3 linked regions of the Diceros bicornis minor genome follow. The protein of the gene in region 1 interacts with the protein of each later gene in a pairwise test. Links are inferred from orthologs where the notes say so. Each region holds a gene or a part of one and is shown in the gene's direction. Other genes may lie near its edges.

What was found.
Region 2: the proteins of L3MBTL2 (region 1) and PAICS interact in binary tests that used the Homo sapiens proteins (3 or more experiments, as listed by UniProt). The two-hybrid records come from large-scale screens. The link is inferred for Diceros bicornis minor from reciprocal best matches to the Homo sapiens genes L3MBTL2 and PAICS.
Region 3: the proteins of L3MBTL2 (region 1) and MEAF6 interact in binary tests that used the Homo sapiens proteins (3 or more experiments, as listed by UniProt). The two-hybrid records come from large-scale screens. The link is inferred for Diceros bicornis minor from reciprocal best matches to the Homo sapiens genes L3MBTL2 and MEAF6.

What each region holds. Positions count from the first base shown.
Region 1 is NC_080764.1:9,162,532-9,166,278, reverse strand, and holds the start of L3MBTL2 (lethal(3)malignant brain tumor-like protein 2), read left to right. Parts: upstream 1-844; 5' UTR 845-926; coding exon 927-950; intron 951-1,296; coding exon 1,297-1,537; intron 1,538-3,154; coding exon 3,155-3,288; intron 3,289-3,747. UniProt on the Homo sapiens protein: Putative Polycomb group (PcG) protein. PcG proteins maintain the transcriptionally repressive state of genes, probably via a modification of chromatin, rendering it heritably changed in its expressibility.
Region 2 is NC_080747.1:44,044,325-44,048,071, forward strand, and holds the start of PAICS (bifunctional phosphoribosylaminoimidazole carboxylase/phosphoribosylaminoimidazole succinocarboxamide synthetase), read left to right. Parts: upstream 1-1,075; 5' UTR 1,076-1,147; intron 1,148-1,464; 5' UTR 1,465-1,515; coding exon 1,516-1,531; intron 1,532-3,747. Other genes in the region: PPAT (amidophosphoribosyltransferase), read right to left, coding at 561-688. UniProt on the Homo sapiens protein: Bifunctional phosphoribosylaminoimidazole carboxylase and phosphoribosylaminoimidazole succinocarboxamide synthetase catalyzing two reactions of the de novo purine biosynthetic pathway.
Region 3 is NC_080752.1:51,572,395-51,576,141, reverse strand, and holds the start of MEAF6 (chromatin modification-related protein MEAF6), read left to right. Parts: upstream 1-993; 5' UTR 994-1,023; coding exon 1,024-1,113; intron 1,114-2,268; coding exon 2,269-2,384; intron 2,385-3,747.

The sequences.
Region 1 (3,747 bases):
GGGATTGAAGGAAAGAAAAAAATTAAGGAAGATTTTCACATCTATGTGGTGAACCTCAAATTTAGAAATATATTTAACATATATTCAGCCTCCACTTATTACATTTAATTTCTTAATTAATTGGAGCACAGCATAGCATAGGCAAAGAACTTGGACTAAATCTTAAATTCCAGTCCTATGTGATCTTGGAAAGTGTCTAAACCCTAACAGCCACTGTTGCCTCATCTTTAAAACGATGATTGGATGTCTGCGGATTTGAGATGTTTGTAAAGCTCCACAAGAATGCCTAGAGCTCCCAGCGTGTAAGAAGGTTGTGGGAAATCCAAACGCGACGAGGTGGCGAGCCTCATAGTCCAGGTTTTATTTAGAAGATGGTGACGGAGGGCGAGTGTTGCAGGATTTTGAGCATGCAGGACATCTACAGCATTGGGCATAAGAGTATTCCAGTCGGCCTGAATTGGAAATGAGTCTCTCTGCTAGGCATTCCGGCCCAACGGCACCTGAAATTTCTAATCAGGGAGAATGCGAGGTTATCCCTGCAGCCTGGAACAGTACCTGACTACCGTAGGTGCTCAATAATTGTTTAATGAAGGATGGGGTAGGGGTGAAGGGAAGACGCTGACGTAGAGGTAGGAAAACTGTCCGCAACAGCCGCTGGAAGGCCCGAGCTCGGGATTTTCACGTCGCTGTAGCAACGCCCCGCTCCACGCGCACGCACCCGGGAACTACAAGTCCCACAAGCGTCCGCGGCTTTCCCGCCCCCGGGGAGGAGGGGCGCGAGCGAGCGCGGAACCAGCTTTCCCTCTTTCCTGAAGCGTGATTGGTCCGCGGCTCTGGGAGACGGCCAATGAGTGCGCTCGCGAGAGCGGCGAGGCCAATATGGCTTCCTGCGCCTGGTGACGGTTAAAGACCCTGTCTTGGGTCTCATGGAGAAGCCCCGGGGAGTCGAGGTGAGGGGGGAAGGACTTATCGTGACTGAGAAGGGGAACCCCGAGAGCCTCACTCGTGGACCCTTTAGGCCTTTTAGTGAAGGCTGGAGGGCGGAGTGTGGAAAGATGGATAGACGGAGGTAGTTAGGCTTGACCCGGGCCAGAGGCGGTCGCTGTTGCCTGTTGAGAAATGTATAAACAAGAGTAATGATCCTGGTGTTTGCAAAAGGGGTATTTGATTCTGCCTGCCACTTTGCCCAAGAGTGTTGACTTCACCAAGAACTGGAACGGGAGCTGGTAGATCTGCCACCTCCCTCCCCATACACTAAACCAACCATGATTCCTTCTGCCTGTTTCCTTCCACCAGGAGACTCCGTCTTCAGAACCAATGGAGGAAGAAGAGGAAGATGACGACTTGGAGCTCTTTGGTGGCTATGACAGTTTCCGGAGTTATAACAGCAGTGCGGGCAGTGAGAGCAGCTCCTACCTAGAGGAGTCAAGTGAAGCAGAAAATGAGGATCGGGAAGCAGGGGAGCTGCCCACTTCCCCGCTGCATTTGCTCAGCCCTGGGACTCCCCGCTCCTTGGATGGCAGTGGTTCTGAGCCAGGTGCCTTCAGAGTGCCCCCTGAAGATGGGGAGGTTTCAGGAGGCTATGGAGGAAGAGGGGGATAGAGCCATGTGGGCAGAGCCCTCCAGGTGTAAAGGGCTGTTTGATCTGATGTCTAAGGGCCTGTGAGAGAGACAGAGCATCCCAAGTAGCCCCAAGGGTCATTTCTTCTGCAGTAGTCTGATTTCGTTCATACAACTAGTATTTATTTAGCACACATTACATGCCAGTCATTAACATGGTGCTGCTTGTACATTTGTGTGAATAGCTAGTGGATTTCTAAGCCTGGAGGTTGAGAAGGTAGAACACTTGTTCTGGTTACTATCTGGGTAGGGACAAGAAATAGCTTGCGGGGTGGGAGTGAGGGGGAGGGAAATATAGAATAAAGTGACCTCCAAGTAAGAGGAGTAGGGTGGAGGTGAGCAGATAAGAATCCCCATGGATCATCTGGAAGCCACTTGGCTTCAGAGTTGTGATCTTGGACAGCTGCTGGACCCCACTGTCAGTGCCTCCAGCGTGTGGACTGCCTGTGAAAAGAGGCCGGCTAGACAATTTGTAATAACACTCCTGTTGCTTGGTACCTGAACTTTTCAGAAGAGAATACTCTTGCCAGTTGAATCTTATTTCCTTTCTATTTGTCATGTCTTCCCTTCCTCTCTCCTTTCTTTTATCTTTCTCCCCTCTATCTTCTTCAACCATTCTTTTAGAATCTTAGAACTTTAGAACTAGAAGGAACCATTAGAGACCATCTAGTGCAGGGGTTCTTTAGCCTGGCTGTGCATTAGAATCACCTGGGGGGAGGGGGCGGGCCCCGTGGCTTAGCCGTTAAGCGTGCGTGCTCTGCTACTGGCGGCCGGGGTTCGGATCCTGGCCGTGCACCGACGCACCGCTTGTTGGGCCATGCTGAGGCGGCGTCCCACATACAGCAACTAGAAGGATGTGCAACTATGACATACAACTATCTACTGGGGCTTTGGGGAGGAAAAAAAGCAAAAAAAAAAAGAGGAGGATTGGCAATAGATGTTAGCTCAGGGCCCGTCTTCCTCAGCAAAAAGAGGAGAATTGGCATGGATGTTAGCTCAGGGCTGATCTGCCTCACACACACACACACACAAAAAAGAATCGCTTGGGGAGCTTCTAACAAACTGGAAATGCCTGGGTCCCACCACAGACCAGCTAATTAGAATCTCAGGCTTGGGCAGTTTTAAAAGCTCCTCAAGTGATTCTAATACGATGTCAAGGTTGAAACATTGATTTAGTTCAGTCTCTTTATAGAAGAGAAGAAAATGGACCCACAGAAGTTAAGTGATGTGAGCACTTTTTTCCTTCTCAGTTTTCTCTTCGCAAACTTTCCTCACCTGTTTCCTCTGTCATCCTCATGGATTTTCCTTAGCGCCACTGTTGACACGTGTAGCCAAGGGATGCCAAGCAGCTTATCTTGGGTGAAATAGGTTCAGATGGACACCCCAGAACTTCCTTCTCTTCCAGTTCTGCCAGCCTTAGGGGGACTGAGACTTAACCCGGTAAATGCAGTGCCCCAGCTTTTGAAGGGCCCATCGTTTTGTTTGATTTGGGGTAACCGCATCAGGTGAGTCATGTGCTAAGTTCTCTTCCCAGCTGTCTGTGAGATGTGTGGTATCGTGGGTACAAGGGAAGCCTTCTTCTCCAAGACCAAGAGATTCTGCAGTGTCTCCTGTTCCAGGAGCTACTCCTCCAACTCCAAGAAAGCCAGTATCTTGGCTAGATTACAGGTGAGAGGCAGGTATTTGGAAGACCCTTCCCAGGGCCCTGGGTGCTGAGATAGCAACAACAATTGACTGATGGCAAGGGGCCAGGAGGGCTAGGGAAGGACCTTGCTTATGGCTGTCTGAGGTTGTAAATTTCATGGTATTATGTTCTCAAACCGTACAGGGCAGGGGAATCCATTTATGGAGCTTGTTAAATTGCAGATTCCTGGGGCTACCCTCCATTCCCCACCCTCACCCCTCAGAGTCTGATATGTTCAGTAAGTTTTAAACAAGAACTTTGAGGGAGTCTGATGCCCTTGGTCTTCCCACCATACTTTTTTTGTGTGTGTGAGGAGATCAGCCCTGTGCTAACATCTGCCAATCCTCCTCTTTTTTTTGCTGAGGAAGACTGGCTCTGGGCTAACATCCGTGCCCGTCTTCCTCCACTTTATATGGGACGCCGCCACAGCATGGTTTGCCAAG
Region 2 (3,747 bases), on another chromosome or scaffold:
TGAACACCAACTAGTCCTGTTTCCCTCAAGTTCCCCTACCTATAACTACCTCCAAATCCTCAATCTGCTCAATAGCTCTGCCCTTGCAAGCAAACAAAAGCTTGTGGTGTTTGGAGGCTCCGCACCAACATCTCAAGGTGCTGTAGGTCCTGGACCAGCAGCCACCCTACACCAGCCTATAACAAGAGCAGCTGAGGCTCTGGGAGAGGAAAACCAGCAAGCAGTCGGGAGGAGCACGGACCACGCTAGCCCAAGCGAACCCGAGCCTTACAAACTGGTCAGACTCAAGAGGCATGCACAAACTGGAGGAGGGGAGAGGGCATCTAGGGAGCATCAGGGGTTGGGGGGACAAGCTAAAGTCCAGAGAGGCAGGGTGGCCCCCCGAGCACGCCTTGGCAACCTGGTCGATGCCACAGGCAAGTACCGGTCCAGGTAAGAAAGGTCTGGCCTCCCGGCCCTCAGGAGCGCGCGCGAGATCGCCAGTTCAGGCCGCGGGAGGCGCCTCGGGCAGATGGAGAAGCACACGCGCCGCCACCCCCCCGCCTCACCCGGCTGCTCACCGGTGCTGTAGCCCCACGAGTCCCAGAGTGATCACATGCGGCACATCTAGCTGCGTGGGCCACTCTCCTGAGGCGATGCACCCGAACACGCCACATTCCTCTCGGATCCCCAACTCCTCCAGCTCCATGTCGCCGCCAAAAGCACGTGGAAGGACCTGCCGCTGCAGCAGGGGTCTAAGCACTAACCACCCGCCCGCTTGGCCCGAACGCCTCAGAAGCTCGCGCCCGCGAGAGCTTCTTCCTTCACAGCGGTTAGACCCTTGCTACTGCGGCGGCGCGAGCTTTGCCTGAGAGAGCGTGATTAGCTCCCCCCCATCACCCTGCCCCGCCCCCTCCGGGCCCACCAATGAGCGAGGACGGAGGGAGAGGCTCTGCGGCTGAGGGCGGAGTCTCGGATTCTGTGGGGTGGAGCTAGTCCTCCACCAGAGGCCTAGGGGAACTGATTTTTCTGCACGTGGAAATCTCCGTTATTTTCCAGAGCCTAATGCGGGGGTGATGAGACTAGCGGGGTTAACATCATTTCTCTCCCAGAAGATATAAACTTTGCGTGCCCTCCCCACAGGCTTTTCCCCGCCCGTCACTACTTGGTACGCTCCAATCTGTGACCTGCACGCGCTGCGGAAATGGGGCCCGGGTCGCGAGCTGCTGTAGAATGGGGAGGGGCTTCCAGTGCGCGCCACATTTCACCTTTCCTGCCACAGCGCCCGCGCGGGCGGGGGGAGGGTCTGCGTTGCTGCGCTTGCGCGGCGGGAAACCTAGGGGAAGCGCTCGCTGCCGGAGTGTAAGTTCCTAGGTGTCTGCGGAAAGGCCCAGGGTTGTGCCCTTGCTGTGGTGCTGGCAGAGAGCGCGGGTGGGCGCTCCGGAGGCGTGTCTGTGAGCGTCTCTGGCCACTCCTCTTTTCCAGAGTCCTGCCTCTCTTCCTAGCGCGGCCGCGGCCCCGAGCCCACGCAGGATCATGGCGACTGCTGAGGGTGAGTAACAGGCTTCCATAGGAGTACGCCGGGGCCGCCCTGTCCTCCTCGGTCTTCGCGTCCCCCGGCCTTGAGCTCGCGGGCTCGCGCGGACGGCATCCTTCCTGGGGCGGTGCTGGGTCTCCCTGCAGCGGCCCCTCTAGGCGGCGGACACGTGGCCCAGGTTCCGCCGAGAAGTGCGTTGAACAAAGCGCTCCCGGGCCTCTCCGAACTTGCTGCAACACCCACAGCTGCCCCCGGGATGGGGAAGAAGAACGAGAAATGGCCAGGGGTTGGAGAGGTGCCTGGAAATGGCGTTTGTAATCAGTAGATGTTGTAAAACAACCACAGGAACCTCTAGTGTTGACTCTTCAAACCAAGGTCTTGCTTTTCTTGTTAGGTTAATAGTAACCTGCTATTCCAGCAAGTTAATAATTGAGCCTTCCAAAAATCTTGCTGTTTTCTGTCCAGATTTTGTGTGTGTTTGTTAAAGTAATCTTTTAATGCCATGATGGCTGTGGAGAGCTCCAAAACCACCAGGCCAAAAAAGTTTTCCTTGCTTCAGTGTGCATTTATCATGTTTACTTATTTACGTAATCATTTTGTGCGTGAGTGGTCAGATCCTCGGGAACGATCATTTGTGCCATTTATGCTGATAAAACGTTTGTTTTCTCCACACACTCAATTTCTAAATTTGTGGTGAACCAAATTGCTGGTGTTGCCCAGTCAGTACGTTCTCTTCCAGGTAGAAAATTTGAATTTAGGTAAAAAATTACAGACTAAACAAAAAGCTCCAGATGATCACGAGTAACAACTCCGTAAAATCAAGGTATTAGACCAGAATTTTTCCTGCCATGCCTCTAAACTGGTAGAATCTCTGAGCTTTTGACTCTTCCATCTTACGTATTCTTGACAGGTTAATATTTCTAAGATTTCACTTTCATGGTTCCTAAATGGCACTTCCTTGCTCAAAAATGTTCAATAGCAATCTAAGTGCTGTTAAAATCCATTCTGAAGACACTTTCATTCACATCCTGCGTACTGCTTGCTTCCAACCTCTTCAGCCCTAACTTTAATTTTTCTCTCTTGTGAATCCTAAGCCTACATTCCAGTCAGGTTAATTCAACAAGTTTACTCTTCTCTATGTTTATTATACTGTTTCTTCTAGAACAGTCCTCTCTAATAGAAATATAATATGAAACTATATGTAACTTTGTTTTCTAGTAGCCACATTTTAAAATGTAAAAAGAAACAGGTGAAATTAATTTTAATGTGTTTTATTTAACCTGATATATACAAAATAGTATCATTTCAACATGTAATCAATATAAAAAATTGGAATATTTTGCATCCTTTTTTTCCATATTGCAATCCATTGTGTATTTTACACTTAACTCACATCTCAATTTGGAGTAGCCACATTTCAAGTGTTTCATAGCCACATGTGGCTAGTGGCAACCTTATTGCACAGCGCAGTCCTAGATGTTCTTACCTCTTCTGTGGAGGTTCTTTACTTTTCAAGACTCTAACATTTCAATTCCACGAATTATTCTCAGTCTTCAGCAGTCTCTTCTGAATTCATCTATGAATTTGTAGCAGGCATTTTGGCACTTGTAGCATATGTGTCCTATGATTGTTTCTTACGTTATTTCTACCCATTAATTGAAATTCCTACCCTATTTATCAACTACATAATAAATATTGATTCAATTAAATAGGGAGAGAGGGGCAGGAGGTACAAACTTTCATTTGCCTTTTATCTAACCTAGGCAACATCCTTAACTCTTTCTTCTCTCTCTTTTTTTTTTTTTTTGGTGAGAAAGATCAGCCCTGACCTAACATCCATACCAATCCACCTCTTTTTGCTGAGGAAGACTGGCCCTGGGCTAACTTCCGTGCCCATCTTCCTCCACTTTATATGGGACGCCGCCACAGCGTGGCCTGACAAGCGGTGAATCCGTGGGCGTCTGGGATCCAAACCTGGGCCACCAGCAGCGGAGCGCACACGCTTAACCGCTGGGCCACGGGATCTGCCCCCAACTCTTCCCTCTCTGTTATCCTCCATATTGAATCAATTGTTCTTAAAATGTTTACCTTTTAAATATCTTGAATCTTTTGCCACTGCTTTTTACTTAGACCAGGACATTTCTTGCCTTGATTGCTGCAATAGCATGCTAACTGCTCTCAGTCTCTAGTTTTCTTCCACCCACCCCTTCCTTATTTCATTCTCCGCATAG
Region 3 (3,747 bases), on another chromosome or scaffold:
ATATCAATCCACAGATTTCAGAAACTGAAAGATATCCAAGCGAGGAAGAAAAAAAAAAATGAAAAAAAAAAATCCCATTCGCGATAGTGAAATTGCAGAACCCTGAAAAATAGAGAGAGCTGGGGAAGAAGCAGGGGCCAAGTGAAAACAAAGTTAAGGATGCTGGGCTTAAAGATAAATGCTAATACTTATACGTAGTCCCTATTACTTGCCAAGCCCCTACATTAAGCGATTTACTCCTCACAGCAATTTTATTTGGTAGGTACCATTACTACCTATGTTTTATAGATGAGGAAGTTGGGACAATGAAATTTAGCTGCCTGCCCTAGGCGGCACAGCTGATCAACGGTAGAGGCAGGATTTTGAATACGGTAGTTTCGGCTCCAGTTTGCGTCCTTAACCGCTGCACATACTTGTCTCTCGAAAGGGCAATGGGAAGCCATTGAAAGATTTTAACCAGGGGAGAGACACCACGTTTGTTTTCCACAAACAAATCCTCTGGCACCACTGTGGATAATGGACTAAATAGAGCTAACGGTGGAAACAGGAGGCTGTTGGAATAATGTAGCCAACAGTAGGGAGGGCCTGGATGAACGAGGGAGGTGGCAGACAAAAGCAAACGGATTTGCGGGCTCTTCTGGAGTCGAGTCCACAGGATTTGGTTTTGCATGGGATTAAGGGGGTGAAGGAGAATGAGCATGATACTCAGGTTTCTGACTTGGGCAATTGGGTGGACAGTGCAAGTCGTTCACTGAGGCGACTTAGGAGGAGGTTAGTTTTGGACACGGTGAATTCGTGGCGTCCGTAAAGCCCAGACGTCCAGCCAGGGGAGAAACACGGCTACGACCAGGAGCAGAGCGCTAACGCCCGAGGCGAGGCGCGCGAGAGCCCGAGGCCGAGAGCGCGGCGCGCGGCTCCGGAAGCCGGGCGCGCAGGCGCAGTGCGGCGCAGGCGCCCCCTGGCGGGCGGCGGCGCGCAGGGACCGCCCCCAGCTGGCGCCGCCGCCGCCCGCCTCAGCCCAACATGGCGATGCACAACAAGGCGGCGCCGCCGCAGATCCCGGACACCCGGCGGGAGCTGGCGGAGCTCGTGAAGCGGAAGCAGGAGCTGGCGGTGAGGGGCTGGCACTCGGGGCGCCCGGGTGGGTGCCCCGCGCCCGCGCGCGCCTCCGGGCCCCAGCCCCGCCGCGCCAGGCCGTTACCCCGGGAGTCCGGTGGCCGAGGCCGGGCTGCGCATTCCGCGGCCCGCCGGCGCCTCGGCGTCGCGGCCGTGCGGAGCGGGGGCCGGGGCCGGGGCCGGGGGCGGGGCGCGGAGCCGGGGAGGGGGCCGGGCGGGCGGGGGCGTGGAGGCACGATGCGCCTGGGAGTGGGGGCTTGTGCGTGGGAGCCTGGAAAGGCGAGTGTCCGTGAGCTCTGCGGGCTGGGGGAAAGCGGGCGGGTCCGCGATCTTTGGGGGTTGGGGCGGGCGTGTCGGTGGGCTGTAGGAGATTGGTTCGGGCTTGCCGGTGGGCTTTGGGGCGGGTGGGGTAGCACCAGGGCGGGTATGGGAGGGGCACCTTGTTATCCAGTCTGGCCTTTGGAGGATGGAGGGGCGCATGTCCTTTTGGGAACTAGGAGTAGATCCGTTGGATGGGGTTTTTGATGGGCAGATGTGATGTGTTTGGGAACATCTAGAAAGTGACAGGCGAGGGGAACGGGCTCAGTCTAGGGAATTATGAATTGTGACATGCAGCCAGGGTCCCATGCACCCTGATGGCTAAGCCCTCCCTCCCCATGGCGTTTTGGCTTGGGCAGCGGGAGGCCCATCTCACCTGAAGCTGCCCTTCCAGGTTTCCATAGCAACTGGCAGCCTAGCGCAGGCGGCCTCTCTGAGCCTTCCGGGAGGGGAGCGAGTTGGCGCAGGAGGCTGCGCAGCCTTCCTTCTCCCCGGTAGCGGTACCTTTTATGCGTGGGAGTGGCGACCGCTCACGTTCTGCCTCAGCCGGGGTTCTTGACAGCTAGGTTTCTATGAACCCTCTGAAATATATGGACAATTTTGCACGCGTGTATATTTTTCTGGGGACGCGCTCTGTCTATTCCATTCTATTCTCAAAGGGATCCAACAAGACAGGTCTAGACTGGCTTAGTCTGAAGCAGCGTGCCCCTCCCCATATGATCCGTCTTTCTACCAGGGTGGTTTAGTGTAGTTGAGCTTGAGTTTTCAGTTTGATCAGACTTAACGTTTGCGTTTCAAAGGCATTATCCATTTTCCTTGTTTTTCATCTCTCAGGAAACACTGGCAAACTTGGAGAGACAGATCTATGCGTTTGAAGGGAGCTACCTGGAGGACACTCAGATGTATGGCAACATTATTCGTGGCTGGGATCGGTATCTGACCAACCAAAAGTGAGTGTCAGAAGCCTGCAGTGTTTGTGTTGTACCCTAGTAGTATTTGTTTTTAAGGATATATGTATTCTTGGTGGCAAGTTTGCAGGGAGGCAGTAATAAAGTGGTGGTGGGGAAAGAGATCTGGGCTTGAACTTGGACTCTGGCTCAGCCATTGCTTCACTGAGTAATTCCGGACAAATCCTACATCACTAAAGTAGAAAGTCCAGCCTATGGCACAGGGTTGTGTGAGGCTTAAATGAAGTACAGCATATAATACTTTACACAGCAGCTCTCTTGTTAGTATTTTCCACATTTTAATCAGTCATGAGCTCCGCCCTCACGATATTTGCCATACCTGTGTGCCAACTGTACTACTATTTATTTAGTAATATTATTTTTGAAAACTGTCTGAACTTTTTGAAATTTTTCAAATCTATGGAAAAATTGAAAGCATAGTGCATGAACACTTGTTACCCTTCACCAGCATTCACCACTTGTTAACTTGTTGCCACATTTGCTTTCTCTCTTTCTTTTCTCTTCCTCTCTCTATAATATATGTAAACACACACATCTATCTATACTTAACTTGTTAAAAAAATTTTGAAATAATTATAGATACGTAGGAAGTTGCAAAAACAGTACAGGGAGGTCTCATGTACCCTTCACCCAGTTTTCCCCAATGGTTGGGTTTTATGTAACTCTAGTGCACTATCAAAACCAGGAAATTGACATCGATACAATGTGTATATGTAGTTCTGTCATTTTATCATGTGTGTAGATGCCTGTAACCACCTCTGCAATCAAGATACAGAATTGGGGCTGGCCCCGTGGCTTAGCAGTTGGGTGCGCGCGCTCTGCTGCTGGTGGCCTGGGTTCGGATCCCGGGCACGCACCGACACGCCGCTTCTCTGGCCATGCTGGGGCCGCGTCCCACATACAGCAACTAGAAGGATGTGAAACTATGACATACAACTATCTACTGGGGCTTTGGGGGAAAAATAAATAAAAAAACAAAACAAGATACAGAATTGTTCCATCACCACAAGGATCTCCCTCAGGCTGCCTCTTTGTGGTTATATCACCCCTTTCCCCATACTTTTTTTTTTCCCCCCCAAAGCCCCAGTAGATAGTTGTACGTCATAGTTGCACATCCTTCTAGGTGCTGTATGTGGGATGTGGCCTCAGCATGGCCGGAGAAGCGGTGCGTCGGTGCGCGCCCGGGATCTGAACCTGGGCGGCCAGTAGCAGAGTGCGCGCACTTAACCGCTAAGCCACGAGGCCGGCCCTCCCCATACTTTTTTTTTTTGCTAAACCATTTAAAGGTTAAAAGCAGATATATCATAACACTTTGCCCCTGATTATGCCAGCTATTACCTCCTAA